Linked DNA regions of Notamacropus eugenii. The protein of the gene in region 2 purifies or fractionates together with the protein of the main gene of each other region. This does not show direct contact. Links are inferred from orthologs where the notes say so. Each region holds a gene or a part of one and is shown on either strand. Other genes may lie near its edges.

Region 1 (8,759 bases), on a different chromosome or scaffold from region 2:
GGCCTGAGGTGGATTAAAATGTAGTTGGGAAACATTTAACAAAATAAAAATACAGTAGAGTATAGGTAACGTTAATGAGGTTTTCTAAGTCAACTAGAGACCCACAGGGATGTTTATATACAGTTTAGTAGCTGACAGGGTGTTCCAAAAGTTTTAGTGCCATTTTAAACTATTAAAGTTCATTATATGAGGTGTCCCAAAAGTCCCAATGCAGTTTAAAGCTATTAGCTTAATTCTGCACTAAAACTTTTTGGGACAGTCAGTATCATTGGAGCTGCATTTCTCTCAAACACTACCCCCAAGGGATCTCTTTTATTTATGCTGGAGGAAGGCTTCAAAGAGAAGCAACTAACAAAAAAAAAAGTGTTTTTCTTTCTCCCAAACAACCACTTTGCCCTTAAAATATTTTAATTTAGGGAATGGATTTTATTTGGGAATAAAAAAGTTATTCTTGAGAACTGTAATTTTGGCATTAACTTATTTTAAAGTAAAACTATCCCACTTTTACTTACTCAGTTACAGTATTTTTGACCCTCTTTTAATTTTAACCAGATGCTATTTCAAAATCAAGCACTCACACTACACCTTTTTCAATAGGACATTCATGTCTATCCCATCCCTGTGTACAATTTAAGTGTACTGTCAGTAAACATGCCAAAACAAATTTTGTGTAAAATTACCCATGTTGAGTAAAAAAAAAAAAAAAAAAAAGGTTGGAAATCGTGGAACTTTGGACCTAGAGTCAACATCTAATGCAACTCTCCTTCAACCAATGCAGAAGCTGACAAGTTAAGTGACCTACGGTGGTCACACAGATGATCAGTGAGAGCCAGGACTAAGAGTATTGAGTTATTACCACATATTTCATAAAATTTAAGGAACTACCACACTGTCTGAAAACACATATAATTCCAAAACATTCTGCTCTATTAAAACCAAAAATTATTTCTACCCAAAAAGAACCTTTGAAATTTACTATTAAACCCTCTCAACACACAGAGGAGACCTCCAGGAAGAACATCAAAATTCAAACTCCTTGCATATTAGTTGTAAAAATAAAAAACTGACATGCCCCCTTTCTTCATTCACCTGGGTGTTTTCTTTTGTGGCTTTTCAGGTTTTTTTTAATACAGCCGTAGAACATCAGTTTGACAACTGATATTTGCCTCCTTGCATTTCATTTCTTTGTCCGTGTCATTTCTTTGGCATAGTGTTTCATTACATTAATATACCATTATTTATTCAGCCATCATTTATCCAAATGTCATTGGACATTTCAGTTTTTCACTACTGAAAATAAACCAACTATAAGAAAATACATATCAGCTCCCTTTTAAAAATTCTTAAAGTAGGGTGTTCTTAACCTTTGTGTCATGGACCCCTGTAGGAGTGAGATAAATCTTATGGGACCCCTTCTAAGAATGTTTTTAAATATATAGAATAAAATATATAGGAATACAAAGGAAACAAATTACATTGAAAGTCAGCAATTTTTTTTAAAGTAAGTGTACAGACACAGGGTTATGAAACCCTGTTCCAGAAATAGTTGCAGCAACAAAAAACATTTTTGGATTTTTTTTTTAATTTGATATCTCTCTGAATACCACAAGAAAATGTGTTTTTCATGTATTTAAGATTTATGGCATCGGGAACCTTTCATTTTATTTTTAAACTAATTTCCTATAATTCTTATTTAAAAGTATTACTCCCCCTCCCATCTAATCTAGAATATACACAAGTGCCATATTTTATGCAAAATGACTAAAATTAGGCCAAGAAATTAACTCTGGCAGTATGAAGTCTAGCTTTCCCATTCCTCCCTGCATTATATGATACAAACCCATTTTCTCCCAGGCAATCATGTGTTCTTTTTTCCCGACAAGTCCTTCATGAAATGGAAGCCTAAATTAACAAAAATGAATCCACCTCAAGATGTACGATAGAGGGAGAAAATGAACAACCACTTTAAGACACGTACAAAGCATGAATTATGACAACTGATTTCCTTTATCAGCTAAATTCAATACAAATTGATACCCCAAATTTAAAGATTAAGTGGACTGTTTCCAAAAGACCATTTGTAGTCCAGTTTTCTCATGGCTGAGTATATTAGATAAGAATAATGCAGCTATAATGCAATTTTATCTGCACTATGATTAAGAACAACATCTGCTGTGGCAGGATGATTTTGACTGAAAGACAGGTATGATGAAATACAGATGTTCTCACAAACCAGCATCTTACTGGCCTCTTAAAAAGAATTTATATCAGTTTGAACATTTAATAATTTTTTGTTTTTATACTCAGGTTTTTTTTAATAACTGATGCACTCAAATACTGGTTTAAACCTAGATCCGTTTGTGCCCTAACATTTTTTTTTTTTTAACAAGGAACATTTAATGAGCTATAATATAGCAAGGACACATGTAAAAGTAATTCATTTTTAGAAATTAGTTTTAATTATGAAAAATGTTTTACAAATTATGTTTCACACGTTATTTTACAGTGTTTTTTTTATTTTTTGGTGGCTTCCTTATCTTATTGGGATTTGGAATCAGTTTCTTTATTTTTAGGGGCTGTAAAGTTACAGCAGAAGTATCTTGCTGACATTCAACAAGTTTCCGCTTATTCTTAGTAAGTTCTTCAAAGGAGGTTTCTAAAACACTTGTATCTTGCATTTCTAAAGTTTCACATTCTGTATCTTCCAGGGAATCTTTAGTTTTGTCTTGAAGCCATGGCACATGTAAACTAGGTACCCTGGGAATTATAGCTTTTAGTTCGTCAACAAAGGCTTCGGTGTTTTTTTTGAAACCCAGAGCTAGAACACACTTTAAACCAATAACAGGTGCGATGCTATCACTAAGGCGAGGAACCTGGCAAGCAGGTACATCTCTGCTGATGCTCAACTGAATCAAGTGGGAGGTCATCATAGCAGGTTTGACAGATTTGCACACTAGAACTAAAAGAAGTTCATTTTTCTCTAGAGCTCTGGTAACTTCATTAATTCCAATAGCAAGTTGTCTCCTGATATGTACAGGAGTCCATCCTGGTACTTTCTGGCTGATTTCTGTTCCTTTTTGCTTTGGAACTTCATCATTATCAACAGTACCTTTTTCTTTGGTTTGTCTTTTTGAAAAAGGCTGTTTTTTCTTCTTTGGATTCTCAATCTTTTGAAGTCCAACATGTTTAAATCTTTCTTCCAGTGTGTGTAATATGAAGTGCATATCATCTCTTTCCAAAGTACTCCAGTTGATAGCATATGGGTTATTTAGCGATGTCTTTACAGTAAATGATTTTGCTTTTCGTATCGATCCTTTCCCTGATGCTGCAGCCATCTCGAATGTTCCTTGACACCAAAACTATTAAAGAAAGTTAACATTAATTGGGAGCCCTTATTTAAAATAAATGTTTTCAGCAAATATATCTTGTTTGTTGTCTTATTCCGGAATTACCAGTTTTTTAAAAGTCCCATTTTTATAGCCACTCTGTGGAAGACTTTTTCTCTAAAGCAACAGGGTATCACTTTCATTAAAATTTAGCATTACTCTTTCAGTCACAATGAAAATTGTAAACATCAGTCACAGAAAATGATTTGAAATATAAATTACAAACTGCAGTGAACTACACAAATTAGCAAAATTAAAAATGTTTGCTTCTCTGCGTAAATATCTAGCTCTACTTGTAAAAGCGGTAGACCTCCTTTTATTCTTTCTTTCATTTCCTGAGAGAAGGGGATTATTTTTGCTTCTTTGTATCGCCAAAGCCTAGCACTTAATACATAAGAGATACTTGCTGACTAACTACCAGAAAAGATATTGGACTGTATCAAAAACTATTCAAGACTGGGGAAGACACCTGAAACCTGTTAAGCAAGCCTTGCCTTCATTTCTTCCACAAGTCCCACTTTCTGGCCAGCCCTAGTATTTATGTGTATGTGTATATTATATTTGCATATATATGTACATATATGTATATATATATATACACACAAACACGTGTATGTATACACATTTATATTCTTCCATATAAAATTTATCACAGGGCCCTTGATTTCGAACAAGACATTTAAGAGGTAGCCTGCATAATGGAAAGAGCATGGGAACTGAGTCAAGAAACCTGGGTTCTATTTTCTGCTAATTACAGACACAGAGAGGCTGGCAGACAACGAGTTTTCCTTTTCTCAAGTTATTTTTTTGATTTTGGAAAAGAATATAAAACGGTATTCAGTACCTACTCTCAGTACTCTGGTCGAATTAAAGCAATTAACTTAATTAAAAGGTTAAAGCAACTCTTAAATGCAAATGACCAAGTGCTACGCCAAACTAGGGAATAGCTCTAGGGAAAAACAACGCTGGGAGGGCCGTGAGTAAATCTTCTACATTAAAGATTAAGGAAACTTGAGTGAAGTGACCTTAACTCACCCCAGGTGAAAGTGTTCTCTTCCTCCACGTTCTAGTAACAACTTGCCTGGATTATCTCCTTGACACTCCTCTCCCAGGAAAAAACTGGTCTCTCTCTAGGGTGAGGCTTCTTAAACTCCTCCACTCTCCAGCCCTTTAGTACTTCTTAGCCTGTGGGGCTTCCTCACTGCCCATCACAAACAAACCTGCCACCAGAAGCTGGAGTTTCCTTATCCAAACAGCTTCCTCTGGTAGCTTACCGTCCGTACGACGGTATGTCGTGTCCACAGGCACACCTTCTCTCTACTGCTAATTCTACAGGAGACATGGGGGAAAAACCCGTGCACATATATGTGTATATGTGTGTGTGTATACACACATACATTTATGCGTGTAAGTACATAGACGACAGGAACAGATGGAAGCCACGTGCCTGTCTTGTTCATACGTAAAGCCAACAGTGAAGCTATATACTTCGTACGTTGGGTTTCCCTCCCAGGTTATCTCCCGTATCGGAAGGCAAGTTCTCCTTGGGCAGGGGCTAGGTTTTTTTGCTTTTCATCCCATGCCCTTTGCTTGGTGCAGTACCTGGCACACAAGAGGCGCTTAATAAATGCTTGTGCACTCGTTCCCCACCCCCCGCACGCAGGAAGCGCTATGTAAGTGGTGCTGGAGGAACACATGAAGTGTGCTGAGTCGCAAGCCCGGCCGGCGTGGGAAGCGCGGGTGGCCCGAGTAGGCCCGCAAGCCTGGGGCCTCGCCGGTCACTCGCCCTGCGCCGGGCCGCTGCCCTCGGTCACAAGGCCGCCCCGGGCCGGGTGAGAACGAACCCCGGGCCTGAGCCACGCGGCCCTCAAAGACGACAGTCACTGTCTACCCTGGTCCCCTTCCCTCCCCACCGGGCACAGCGCGCACCCCACAGCAGCAGCCCCGCAGGCGCCGGAGCCGACTCACAGTACAAGCTTTCTTCAGCTCCAGCAGTTTTCCCACAAGCCCTGCTTCAGCTTCCAGGTCGCCTCCTAGTGAGCATGCGCAGGCCCGCCCCTTCCCGAAAGAGAAAGGGGAGGAGCTCGCAAATCTCGAGACGGAAACTCTCGCGCGGAACGCAGAACAAAGACCCGCCTCTGCCGGCCTCCAGCCAATAAGAAAGCCAAGCTCGAGACGGATGTGCTTCTTCCCCAGGGTTTTACCGTTAAAGAGCCGGAAGACTAGAGGAACGTGGAGACTTCCTTCCGGGCACTGGGCGCCGGAGGAGTAGGTTGCCATGGTAACCAACCTGCGCCAATCTCCACGGCGACCGCCATCCTCTGACGTGCCCTGAGACTCTCACCACGCCTACTCCTCCACATTTAAAGGGCCCAGTGGTTAATGGCCACTGCCCGCCCTCGCGCCTTTACGCCCAGGGCCGTCTGGACCCCGTAGATTGGTGTGAAATTCTTTGGGGAAGCTGTGTATTCACACCCTTTGACTCCTCTTCTGCGGGGTCCGGCTTTAGGTCTGTTCTCTGGAAGTTTGTTGTCCCGGGTATCTTAGATATTCTGCGGACACGTTAAACGCCCTACTGTGCGCCCGGCCCTGCGCGGAGCCTCCTCCTGCCCCCGAGAAGCCCCCTCTCTAATGGGGGAGAGTGCATGCAAACAGATCTACCCAAGGCAAGCTTTATGCCGGACAGATAGACGGTAAAGCGCCGGCCCTGGGAGGCTTCCTGCCGAAAGGGGAGAGGTCGGTGGGCCTTCTCCTTGAGATCGATCGCCTCCCATTTACAATGTGTATACCTTTTTTTTTTTTGTACGTAATTGTCTACTTGTCGAGCTCCTCGAGACCAGAGACTTTTAGCTTTTTTGTGTATCCCAGGCACACAGTAGGTGCTTATTAAATGCTCATTTATTTGACTTATAAGAGACTTGATAACAAATATTTTTGCCCGGTTCATTCTGTTACTTTTCAAGTTGCGATGCTACAATGTATCTAGCATTTTTCCAGTTATCGTTAAATCGTTTCCTTCGGTGATCTCTAAATTCTCATCATCCTCTAAAAATGTGCCCCTAATGGGGCAGCAGGGCGCTGGTGTGTCATGAGTTGCCCCCAGCCATGTGCGTTCTACGCCCATAACTTTTCATGCATGTTCTCTGGCCACCTTTGTTCCCTGGATGTGTGATCCTCACTCAAAACAAAGTCAAGTGCAAATTATCCATCATTTCTCTGATGTCACGGTCTTCTTTGAAAAGGAAGGACGAACACAGACAGACAGACCCTCTACATATGTCTTCTAATCACTTAATCCTTTCCCAACTAGTAATATAGTAATCTTTCTTGTTACTTGTGCTATGCCATTTAATTAAGCAAATTTCACTTCACTTGGAACTAATGCATTCTCTGTCCTGTCTTCACAGACTTGTTGTGAAGCTCAAATGAGATAATACATGTAAAATACTCTATAAGAGCACTCCACTCATGTACTTTGCAAATATTATTTAGTTGGAAGAGGAAGAGGATAGCTAATAAAAGTAAAGTCGTAGTTTTGTGTAAATGCTGATCTACAAACTAGGAGTAGTTTTCTGGAGCCCAGATGCAAGGAGGCTCTGAGTACTACACTTGAATCAGTCCTTTCCTGTGATAACCTTTCCTCAAGGAAGGGCAGTGATCAAAGAAGTGGTAAAGTCATTTCTGGATATTTTTCTTGATGTCCATATAAGATGCTCCCAGAGTGGTAGTTAGGTGGCACAAAGGAGAGAATTGTGAGGATCTGAGTTGGAATCCTGCCTCAGATAATTAACAGCTCTATGGCCCTGGTCAAGTCACTTAACCACTTTCAGTCTGAATTTCTTCATCTGAAAAGTGAGGACCTCTAAGAGTTATCATTGTAAAATGAGATAACATATGTGCACTTTGTAAACATTAACATGCTATATAAATGCTAGCAATTATTCCATATAGCACATAAATACATGGGCTATCCCTAAGCAGAGCAGGCTCCCTGGCCAGAAGGATTTATGACAGAAGGCATAGACCAGCCAACCCTTCTATACAGTAGAAATGCTAATCGTGTTTAACTTTCATAATATAACAACAGGCAGATATTCAATAAACACAACAGCTGACTTTCCATCATTGAGGGCTATATCATCTGATTATCAGCCAATTAGTCAATAAGCTGGGTCTTGAAGTCAGGGAGACCAGGAGGCTAACATGATGAGGGAGAGTGTTCCAGATCAGGGTGACAGCCAGTGAGAAGATGGAGAGTCAGGAGGATCCACTAGAAGGCCAGTGTCACTGGATGGTAGATTTCTTGGAAAGGAGTAAAGCATAAGAAGACTGGGAAAGTAGGAAGGGGCTAGGATTTGAAGGACTTTACAAACTGTCCAGCTCTCTTCTTCCTCCTGGACATTTGGCCAAGTTACTACTCATGAACACAAGAGAAGATACAAGGGAGAAGGGGAAAGAAAAGGATCTAATTCAAGTTCATGTGTTTATGGACTCCTACAATGTGAGCCCTTAAAATATCTCTAATGAATCTATATAATTCAACATTTCCATTTTATAGATAAAGAAACAGAGGCCAAGGGAAGGGAAATGACTCTTCCAAGGTTATAGAACAAACAAGTAGCATAGACTCCACTAAAACCACAATTTCCTAACTCCCAGTCCTGATCTCTTTAAATGACAAGATTTCGCTTCTCCAGTTTGGTAAATGATTCAGCTGGGAAGGAGAATGATTCAGGCTTGAGGGGTTGGGGAGAGGGTGGCAGTTCTCTGTGGATTTCATTTATCTTTGCTCTTCCTGTTCACTGAGTTGGTTAATTGACCAGGCAGAAATTCTCTTTGCTATGGGGAGAAGGGGGAGGGGAAGCAGTTTTCCTTTGGGCTTTGAGAATGAGAAACTGTTTACTAGCATCATTTTCTCATATTTTCCTGAGGCCTTTTACCAGCAGATGGAAGCGGAGCAGCAGGACTGAAATTCTGCATGTGAGAACTCCAGCCTGCCTCCCAGCTGTGCTCAGCCTCCAGAGAAGTTTCAGTACAACATTAAGAACAGGAACATGTCCTTCTCATAGTTGTGGTGGTGAAGAAGGAACACTACCCTCCATCTGAGACTTTTTGTTTGCATAACAAAAATGTTTGAGTGGCATTTGGCTAGTGGTCAAACTCCATCGTGCTCAAATAACCATCACTTCCATTTCTATAGCACTTTATGATCATCTCGATTCTCACAACTGCCCTAGAAGGTGTGTGATTAAGGAAATTTATGGTTCAGATTCGCACCTACAATAAGGCACATTTGAGAAGAAGAAGCTGGATATTTTATTGATTTACAGAACAGGCATGAACAGTTTAGAGCTACAGCAGAAATAATTAATA
Region 2 (10,794 bases):
GACCTTTCCTATCAGATCAGGTAAAGGTGAACTGAATACAGAATTTGGTGCAGAAATATATTTAAGTCTACAAATATACAGGGAGAGTGAGGGAAAGAGGAGAGGAGAGTAATAAAGTAGTCGCAGTAGACAACAAAATAAATTTCAGTTTTGGAAAGTTGATCACAGGGGTGGGGGTGATTTTTTATATAAGTCTAAAAACCAAATATCAAGGTTGAAACTTTGGCGATGAGAGGAGAGGCAGAGAAGTAGGAACAGTGGTAGTTTCAATTACAGATTATCCGATTCCTGCAGTTTCTCTATACTGTTCTTTGTAGAAAGGGGGCTGAGAAATAAAGAAGAAAAAGTAGAGGATGTGGGGGAGGAAAATACACAATAAGAACAACATCAGTCATGATTGTGAATATGAAAGGGATAAACTTATCTATGAAATGGAAGAGAATAGATGAGTCATTCATTAAAAATGGGAAAGAAAAATTGGAATTGGAAAGAAAAATTCAGCAATATGTTGTTTATAAGAAATGTACCTGAAACAGAAATATTCATACAGAATTAAAACAGGATGCTAGAGCAGAATTTATTATGCTTCAGGAATTTTCTAAAAAAGTCATAGCAATCATGATCTTAGACAAGGCAACAATAAAATTATACTTAAAGGCACCATAGATAATATCAGTACTTAATAGGTACACACTAAATGGCACAACATTTAAGTATTTGAAAGAAAAATTAATCGAATTAGCAGGAAAAAAAATTAGCAGGAATTAGCTAAGGACTTCCTTTCAGTCTTGGGCAAATCTAACACAAACTTAAATAATAAAGAATCTAAGACTTAGAAAAGTTAATATGGAAACTCTATGATGATTACTAAATGGGAACATAAAGTGCATGACATTTTTTCTTTAAACTGTCCACGTATTAAATTAGGGCATAAAACTGCACAAGTACAGAAAAACTGAATTATTAATATTTACTGATCATCATTTACTGAATATTTGCTGCCAATACCCAAAGTAAAGGAATCAGAAACCATTTTGCCAAGTTTTATGCCAGACAACAAATGAGATGGATAAACTGTTGATCCATCCATTCTGGAAAGCTATTTGGAAATAAAATCCATGCATATTACTTGACATAGGGATATGCTAGGGTTAGGCATACCGAAAAGAAAGAAAAGAATGCATATGTACAAAAATATTAATAGCAACACTTTTTGTTATACCAAAGAAATTAAGGGGATGTTCCTCGATTGGGAGAGCTGAACAAATTATGGGTATATGAATGCACAATAGGAGATGATAAAAGCTACTAAGGAAACGAAACCTGGGAAAATTTGAACTGATGCAGTGAAATGAGTAGAACCAGAACTATTTTTATCTTATAATATTAACAAGAACAACTTCAGCAGAGTTAAGAACTTTTTATCAATGCACTGATCAATCATGACTCTAGAAGACTGATGAAGCATGACCCTCACCTACTTCTTCGTGAAGAAAATAGATTAAAGGTAAAGACAAATTTGTCTAAATGTGATCCCATAACTTTGACTATACTTTTGTTACAAAGAAAAGCAGGGAAGAATTGGGAGGAAAAATGAGACAACATGAAAAAAAGGAGGATGAGAGGAGAGAGGGTGAATGATATATTTAAAAAATAAGGAAACCAGAAGAATAGGGCTCAGAGGTGGACACAGACAAGCAGGAAGTGTTAGTATTCCCATGTTAAATTTAATATATATTTTTAAAAAGAACAAATTATACATAGAAGACTGTTTCATAACAACCCTCATTTTCTTGACATCCTTGTATATGGAAGTGGTCATGATTTTCTAGTTCACAATCATTTTAAAAAATGAATAACAAGTAATGGGTAATACTAATATATTAGTACTCCTGAGATACAGCAAGGCCTCCAGCATGTTAGGTATATTCATATTATCTGCACTCTTGCTGCACCTTAAGGACCAGGTCTTTACATGTGTACTACAGCTGAACCCTTTTCCTATGTCTCCTACTTGGACCGTGAATGAACTCTGAGAACAAGAGTCTCTCACTTTTCTATTTTATGTCCCTGGCATTTAGCACATCGTAAGAGTTTATTCAATATTTTTTCATTAATTTATCATCTGTGGAGGATTTATGAAGCAGAATGAGAAAGCAATGGGGGGAAATATGGATCCATCAAAGCAAAGTACATGGTGAATCAAAAGGAAAGCTTCATAGACAGGAAATGAAACATCCCATTCCCTTATGTTGGCCAGGAACCCTATAGGGGGAAAGACTACAGAGTGACAGTAACACAGTGATAGAGAAAGGTCAGAAAAAGAAATACAGAAAATTCTGGCTTTTGAAAAAAAACTCACTACTTAGGCCCAAACAAGAAACAGAACATAAACTTTTCCCTCACACAGAGTCTTTTTTATTTCAGGAGCCTAAACCAATGGCCTTCTCTAGAGTTGGTGGCAGAAAGTTGAAAAACCCACAACAGGACTTCTCTCTAATATCCTGAAGGGTGGGGAGGGAACTGAGATCCCCGAAAGCCCAGAGTATGAAAAATGAAAACGAGAACCATGGCCCAGAAAAATTTAGAGAGGAAGATATGACTATCCAGCTGAGAAAACAGTAGAACTTTGTTCCAGCTACTTGGGTGTAACACGGAAGACCCGAATGTGGATGGCCGAGTTATTTCGGGTTCGGGTTAATGGCTCCCGAGTGTTAGTCTCAGGCTCCAACTCATCCACCAGCTCCACAGTGGAGGTGTTGGCAGCCACTTGCAAGGCCCCAAAGCTGCTCGCTTGCAACTGCAGGGCAATGTTGATGGCCCGATTAATGGCCAGGCCGAGGCCATGAATGTAAATCTCAGGACAGCCACCCTGTCCCCTACCCCCTCCACCACCCTCCAGAAGTTTCTGACACCTAGCCAGCTGCGCCTTGAAGTCAGTCTTCATGTTAACATAGATGTCATTTGGTCTTCGGGGGAGACGGTGGGGAAGCCGCTTTCGAAGAGTGTACTCCACTGGGTCCAGTTCAGCCTCACTGGCTCCCCATGGTTCTCCATTCTCGGCCATAGCTCCTGTGTCCTGTGAATACATGGGAGGAAAGGAGTCAGCTAAATTGGATCCCATGTGCCTCAGGATGAGAACTTGAGGAGGAGCACACATAATGAACTTTTCCCTATTCATTCTTCTACATAATCTAAAAATGCTAGATCTAGAAGATATTTGAGATACACTTTTTTTGAGTGTGTAGGGACCTCTTTGGCAGTTTGGCAAAGCCCATGGATCCTTTCTCAAAACAATGCTTTTAAGTGTATAATATAAAATGCACAGGATTACGGAGGAAGCCAATTATATTAATATACAATTATGAAAATATTTTTAAAAGTTCATGGATCCCAGATTAAGAACCCCTGATCTAGACTATCACGACTCCTTTTACAGATAAGGAAACTGATGCTTAGAAGGGTCTTGCCAAAGATCACACCGATACTTAATAGTAGGTCTCGTCAGTCTCTCTGACTCCCAGCCCAGTAGAGTTTTCATTAGGACAGAGTAGCAGATACTTATAAGTATGTAGCATTTTATGGTTACAAAGTACTTGGTACAATTTCACTTGGCCTCAAAATAACTACCATACCGAAGAGATAACACAAAGTGTTAAAAGAGACTCAGTTACCATCCTGCACCCCTTCCCCCCCACCTGTCAGCAGGAGTGAGACAAGAACCCAGGTATCCTGGGCTCAAAGATCACTAAGCTTCCCCCAAATTCCCAACACTGCCTGACAGATGGATAATATAAGAGATATGGCTCTATCTATATATTTATACACTTCATTTATCAGCCTTCACCCAATTTGGTTTCCCACCTACACTAACACACCTATACTCAGGTACACAAAGCACACCCACACATTCCACAAACATACAAACCATATACACACATATACCATTACACACCACATACACCCATATACACATTACCCACTTCACACTCACACACATCACAAAAAGATCATACACCTACAACAAGCTACACCCCCCCCCTCCCCAACCACAAAGACCACAACCTACACCAAATACACCACACACAGACACACACACACCCTCTCCAGCTTCCAGCTGTCCCAGCCCCACTCTAACCCAACACCGGCACTCACCCACTGGGGAAGGGAGCGCCTTCCTCCCCGGGTGCTGACCCGCCAGAAGCAGCTCAGGGAAGGAGTGGTCCAGAGGGGAGGCAGCCACAGCAGTATGGAAGCAGCGCCGGGCTCCCAGAGCGTGAGGAACAACGCACATGCGCGCCCGACACCAGAGGGTTAAACCTCCCCCTCCGTCTTCACCAATCGTCTGCCCCCTTCTTGGGTTTCTCCCTCCCTTCTCTCCTCCTTCGGCTCGTGGATTTTGAAATCTCGCGAGGTTTCTAAAAGGATGATGCGCTCTCCTGCGTGGAAGAAAGCACCACGTGAAAGGAGGGCGGGGCTCAAAAGAAGAGGGCGGCGTGGGGGCCTTGTAGGGGCTTGAGTTTACCTGCAGGGGCGGTGGGGCCGGAGGGGGACCTCCTTGCTGACTTGATGTGCCTTTGCTATGCGAGGGAGAAGGGGGGAACCTGGGGGCATCCTCCCTGGAGGAAGCGGCCGAGCTGTCTGGTGAATTGGCACAGCCCCGGGCGTTCAGGCCAAATCAGGGAAGGCCCACGTGGAACCCATCGTTGCCAGCCTTCATCCCTGGGGCACCTTAAAGGTTGACTCCAATGCCAAGCGTTAGGTTAATTAGCATCCTTACCACATGCGTGGCGCTTTACAAAATATTTTCACATATGATCTCATGTGTGATGCAAGAACCCTGTGAGGTGGATACTCAGTGGATTCATCTCCAGGCCTAATGAAAAACCCAAGAGACAAGAGTTTCTGGGTTATTAATAATCAATTTATTATTTAGGCTGTCACATAAATTGAGGGCAGTGGTCCTAGGGGAAACCAAAGACCCTTTCCCTCCCCAAGTGGGAGGCTGCTGAATGTTTAATTATCCTTGGAAAAGGGAGTGTCTCTGAAGATGAAAATTGTGGAAAGAGCCCTGAAATTAGTACGTCTGTTTTCTATGAGTTACCTTGCCATGCAGATGCACTGGACGCAAAGTAAGCTTTTTTGCTAAAAGGAGCCAATCAGCAGCCTGCAGTGAGCCAAAGTCGGGCTCACTCCCAGATGCCTTTTTATTGATGTTGCTGACTGACCTTGCTGAATTGTGCCGACCCACCCCACCCCCACTGGTCCAAACCAGTCATGCAGTCAACAGTTCCTGCAAAGCATATTGCTTGTATGTCCACCTGTTCCTGGGAAAGATTGTCCGTTCTTTTCCCAACCTACCCCTGAACCTCTCCTTTGTAGTTTTCAAGCATAATCTCTCCTGCTACTCTTGGGCTGTGAGGTCCTTTGTACCTTGTACTAGGGACTTCAGAACTAGTGGATGATTTTCCTTCTAATAAAATTTCAGCTTTCAACCCAGCTTGGAAGTCTCTGCATTTTGAAGGGTGGTTTTCACTTAGTTGACAAAGTCAACTCTGACTGGTTAACAATTAATGAGAAAATTAATATTATAATGAGAGGTGGACTTTTTCTAAAGGGTAGTGACTTTGATCATGTAGGGGACAAAGAGACTCTTCTCCAGCCAGTCCTACCTGAGTAGAACAATAGTGGGGTTTACAGTTAGAATTCCACGAAGACAAGATGGTTTTGGTAGGGTGAATTTTTGAGTAAGGTCAGAAAGGTACTTGAGAGGCTAGGCTTTGAATGAGTAAGAGAAAAAGAGAGGCTCTTTGGGCCCTGTATATAAAATTGGTTCTTCCTGTAATAAGAAAAGTAATTTTTCTCAAAATCCTGACCTCAGATACAGTGTGACCCTGGACTTAACCTCTACCTCAGTTTCCTTATCTGTAGAACAAAATTATAGCACCTACCTCCTAACATTGCTGTGAGGATCAAATGATAATTGTCAAGTACCTGGCACATAGTAGGCACTACATAAATGCTAGGTATTAGGTAAGCAGAGTTGGTGATATTCCCTTTTCATAGCTCAGTTAACAGAGACCTAGAGAGAATAAGAGACTCTTCCAAGGTGACCCAAATATTCTCTGTCATGGCCATGATGCTCTCCATTCCCACTGTTTCCTAAGTTTCATATAATTCTGAAAGAGGCATTGGTAGAGGTCATTTATGAAGAGGAAGATGAGGTTCAGGAATTGAGTCATCCAGAAAGAACTGGAAGTTTGGAGGAACCTCAGCATGGGGAACCCTGTCAAACCCTGAAAATAAATGACCAAAGAATATAGAAGTTACACAACTACTATTAACTCTGGAAAATACCAAAGAGCTCAGAGAGGTAATACTGTTAACTCTGAAAAATAAAATAATAATAAAATAAAAAATAAAATAAAATCAAAGAGCTAATAAGCAAAAAGATTTCTGTATTTCATGTAGGAAGGTAAAACTAAGGCCTCCTCTAGGAGAGCTGCTTTAGCAAGGCCAAACCTTAATACATATAATAGTGACAACACAGTAGCAGTGACAATTTGGTGGTAACAGCAACAATGAGACAAATTTGATTCCTAGCAGAGGCTTCATGACTGAAACATGGTTCCTGCAGGTGCTTGTTCAAGCTTGGAGACCAGCTGGGGCTCATGTGAAACAATTCTGGGATTTTGCTGCAGCAGAGTTCATCCAGAGGGTGAGCACAAAGGATGGTTGTTATGCCAAGCTCAGGGCACAGTTTGCTGGGCAACAGGGTGTCTCCTAATAGTAAAAACAGAGGGATAGTCTTGGCATAGGGATCCTGACAATTTAAAAATATATCTGTCCCAGGAAAGACTAACATTTCTTATGCATGCACTAGAGAAGTAGAACTTTACTTTTATCTCAACTAGACAAAGAAGGGCTGAAAATGCACATAAACACAGACACACACATGTGTGCACACACAGAGGGCTTATTGTAGAAATACTGAGAAAGGAAAAGTGGGGATTAAGAGGGAGGAGAAGATAGATTCAGGGTAGATAGCCATACTCAAAACAAATGCCAACCTCACAAGGCAGATTCTGAAGTGGAGCTTAAAAGAAAAAAAAGTTGTAAAAACGTGATCAGTGGCTAAGCAAGAGGAAAAAAAAGACCAGTGGAACAAAAGCTAATTTCATTAAATACAGATCCCTAGTGCCTAGTATGGTAGTGTAGTGCTAGAACTGTAATTGAGAAGACTCATCTTCCTAAGTTCAAATCTGGCCCCAGACATTTACTAGCTTTGTGACCATGGACAAGTCACTTAACCCTGTTTGCCTTAGTTCCTCATCTGTAAAATGAGCTGGAGAAGGAAACAGCAAACCACTCCAGCATATTTGCCAAGAAAACCCCAAATTGAACAACAAAAAAGTGCCTAGTATGGAACTCACTCCACTCTCCACACCTTATTCTTTGTAAAGAGTGGGATAGAAGGGCAAAGAAAGGAGAGAGTACAGGATAGTGAGAAATACACAACTATCTTAACTGTGAAAGTGAATGGGATGACCTCATCCATTGAAAGAGAGGAGGGTGGCATATTAGAAAAAAAATGTCCATACTTTTTGACCCAGAGATTCCACTGTTAGACATATACCTCAAGGAAGATATTAACTAAAATAAAGGCTCTATATAAAATAAAATATTTATAGGAGCTCTTTTTGTGGTATCACAAAACCAAAAAGAAAGTAGATGCAAAGAGGTGGGGAACAAGCAGCCTTGAGGCCATTTGTAGCCCTCTAGGTCCTTAGGTGTGGCTTTTTGACTAAGTCCAAGTTTTATAGAACAAATCCTTTTATTAAGGGGATTTGTTCTGTGAAGTTTGGATTCGGTCAAAGGGTCACACTTGAGGGCCTTGAGGGCTTCATGTGGCCTCAAGGCCTCAGGTTCTCCACCCCTAGTAGAAGCCTATCAATTGTGGAATGGCTAGACAAATTGTGGTATATGAATATAATGAAATATTACAGTGCTGTAGGAAATGATAAACACAATGAATAAAGAGAAGTGTGAAAAGACTGACATGAATTGAAGCAAAATGAAATAAGCAGGACTAGGAAAACAATATACAAATTAACTGAACAATATAAATGGGAAAAAACAAGCACAAAATAATCCAAAATTAATATTATGAAAGTATAAGAACAAATTTAGTCTCAAAAAAAGAGAAGATACCTGTAAAGCCAGTCATGGCAGCACACCTGAGCACACACAGCTGCTGTGAATGATTTTTTAAGGGTCTAACCGAATAATATAATGGACTCTCTATTTATTCAGCAACAAACTAAGCATTGTTCAATAAAGTAAAGCATAACATTCATACCAACATCCTTAAGCAAAACATACCATCTAATACATATATGTATCTCAAAACATTCAGTATGTCATATGGCACATAGCATTTACCATTACATCCCCAAAGTCAGAGGGTCCCAGGCTTGGGTCTTCCCTAGCACAATGCATCCTTAAGGAGTAGCAGAAAATATCACACCATACACCCCTACGTCACTATAAGAACAATCTTCTTAATCAATACCCGGTGTTCAAGTAAAGTTCTCTCTCATCTTGACTTGAGGCTGACTTCCAACTGCCATGGCTCTTCATGTGTGAGTTGGCCACTTCCAACTCTTGCCTGGGTTCATATGCAGGCAGCTCTGTGCTCCTGCTCCTTGTCTCAGGTCACAGGGACTGTTCCACTCCAAACTCCTTCTGCTTCTGCCTGATAGCAGGCTCCAGAGGCTCCTGCCCACAACTTCTGTTTCTAGGAAAACAAAACTTAAAAGGGTTATAACAATATTCATACATATTACAAGTGCCATCATCTCAATTCACTCATAATGACCAACAGACAGGGCCTCTGTCTGAGATATCAACACAGACCAACAGAAAAGGCTTCTGTCTGAGAAATTAACACAGATCAACAGACAGAGCACTGACACCACAAACATTCTTTCTGCTAAGCATCCCCACAAGCAAGCTCCCCTAGACTGCTCACAGCTGCTTCTCTGTCATCTCTGCTTCTCTCTCTTCTGGTAAGCAATACAATATATATACTGTTTTAAATAAAAGATTCTTGATTGTTTCAATCAAAGGCACATGATTGGCTAAAATTCAATACAGAAAAAAGAGCAAAAAATCCTACTTCGGAAAATTCTAGAGCAGCAGAAGCCACAAAACGACAAGAGTGAAGGAGAGTTCCAGCCCAAGACAGCCTGGAAGGCCAACAGGAAGGGTCTATCGCACCAGGCTTGGGGCAGAGCACAGCTCACGAAGCACAGCCCAGACTTGGACATGCAGCTTGGACAGAACTGAAGCAGACTTCAGGGTGCAGAATCCCAGGTAGCAGGTGTGGTTCCCAGATTACTCAAACCACTAATGCCAAAGACAGCTTCCAAGGTCTGTGAGAAAGCTCACCCCAGTGAGCAGGGAGCAGAGTCCTGCCCTAACCCCAGCCCCAGGCAGCCCCAGGTGGCAGTAGCATCCATTTTTGGAGCCCTTGGCCTAAAGACCCTGGGGAAACTGAGCCACTGATCTGGATCTCAGCCCTGAGTGGTGCTCCTGGGTGAGGAAAAGCACTGGCTGATGGAGCTGGTGGAGGCTCTGGAGAGAGAATTCTACTCACAGATCCTGGGCAGAAAAACTTTGGGTTGCTCCCAGACCAGTGTGCAGGCCAGAAGAGGAGTAAATTCCTCTCCCTTGATTGTGCCACCTTGGAGGAACTGAGAACTTACAGGTCCCTAGAGTATGCCCTCAAAGGACTCAAAAGTCAAGTAACTGACTGGGAAAATGCCCAAAAAAGGAAAAAAATAAGACTATAGAAGGTTACTTTCTTGGTGAACAGGCATTTTCTTCCATCCTTTTGGATGAGGAAGAACAACGCATACCATCAGAGGAAGACATGAAAGTCAAGGCTTCTGCATCCAAAACCTCTGAAATGAATATGCAATGGTCTCAGGCCATGGAAGAGCTCAAAAAGGATTTTGAAAATTAAGTAAGAGAGGTGGAGGAAAAATTGGGAAGAGAAATGAGAGCAATGCAAGAAAATCATGAAAAGTGAGTCAATAGCTTACTAAAGGAGACCCCAAAAAATGCTGAAGAAAATAACAACTTTAAAAATAGACTAACTTAAATGGCAAAAGAGGTCCAAAAAGCCAATGAGGAAAAGAATGATTTAAAAAGCAGAATTAGCCAAATGGAAAAGGAGATTCAAAAGCTCACTGAAGAAAATAGTTCTTTAAAAATTAGAATGGAACAGATGGAAGCTAATGACTTTATGAGAAATCAAGAAATTACAAAACAAAACCAAAAGAAAGAAAAAATAGAAGATAATGTGAAATATCTCATTAGAAAAACAACTGATCTGGAAAATAGATCCAGAAGAGACAATTTAAAAATTATGGGACTACCTGAAAGCCATGATCAAAAAAAGAGCCTAGACATCATCTTTCATGAAATTATCAAGGAAAACTGTCCTGATATTCTAGAACCAGGGGGTAAAATAAATATTGAAAGAATGCACAGATCACCTCCTGAAAGAGATCCAAAAAGAAAACCTCCTAGGAATATTGTAGCCAAATTTCAGAGTTCCCAGGTCAAGGAGAAAATATTACAAGCAGTCAGAAAGAAACAATTCGAGTATTGTGGAAATACAACCAGGATAACCCAAGATCTAGCAACTTCTACATTAAGGGATCAAAGGGCTTGGAATATGAAGGAACTAGGATTAAAATGAAGAATCACCTACCCAGTAAAACTGGG

Evidence for each region. The genes of interacting proteins can lie anywhere in the genome.
Region 1: the proteins of POP7 (region 2) and RPP38 purify together in Homo sapiens (co-immunoprecipitation; 3 studies listed by BioGRID and IntAct, with this or other methods). This does not show direct contact. The link is inferred for Notamacropus eugenii from reciprocal best matches to the Homo sapiens genes POP7 and RPP38.

What each region holds. Positions count from the first base shown.
Region 1 is NC_092874.1:55,694,524-55,703,282, reverse strand, and holds RPP38 (ribonuclease P protein subunit p38), read right to left. Parts: upstream 3,336-8,759; coding exon 2,496-3,335; 3' UTR 2,437-2,495; downstream 1-2,436. UniProt on the Homo sapiens protein: Component of ribonuclease P, a ribonucleoprotein complex that generates mature tRNA molecules by cleaving their 5'-ends. Also a component of the MRP ribonuclease complex, which cleaves pre-rRNA sequences.
Region 2 is NC_092873.1:80,037,721-80,048,514, forward strand, and holds POP7 (ribonuclease P protein subunit p20), read right to left. Parts: upstream 4,652-10,794; 5' UTR 4,526-4,651; intron 4,440-4,525; 5' UTR 4,156-4,439; intron 3,080-4,155; 5' UTR 3,068-3,079; coding exon 2,639-3,067; 3' UTR 1,708-2,638; downstream 1-1,707. UniProt on the Homo sapiens protein: Component of ribonuclease P, a ribonucleoprotein complex that generates mature tRNA molecules by cleaving their 5'-ends. Also a component of the MRP ribonuclease complex, which cleaves pre-rRNA sequences.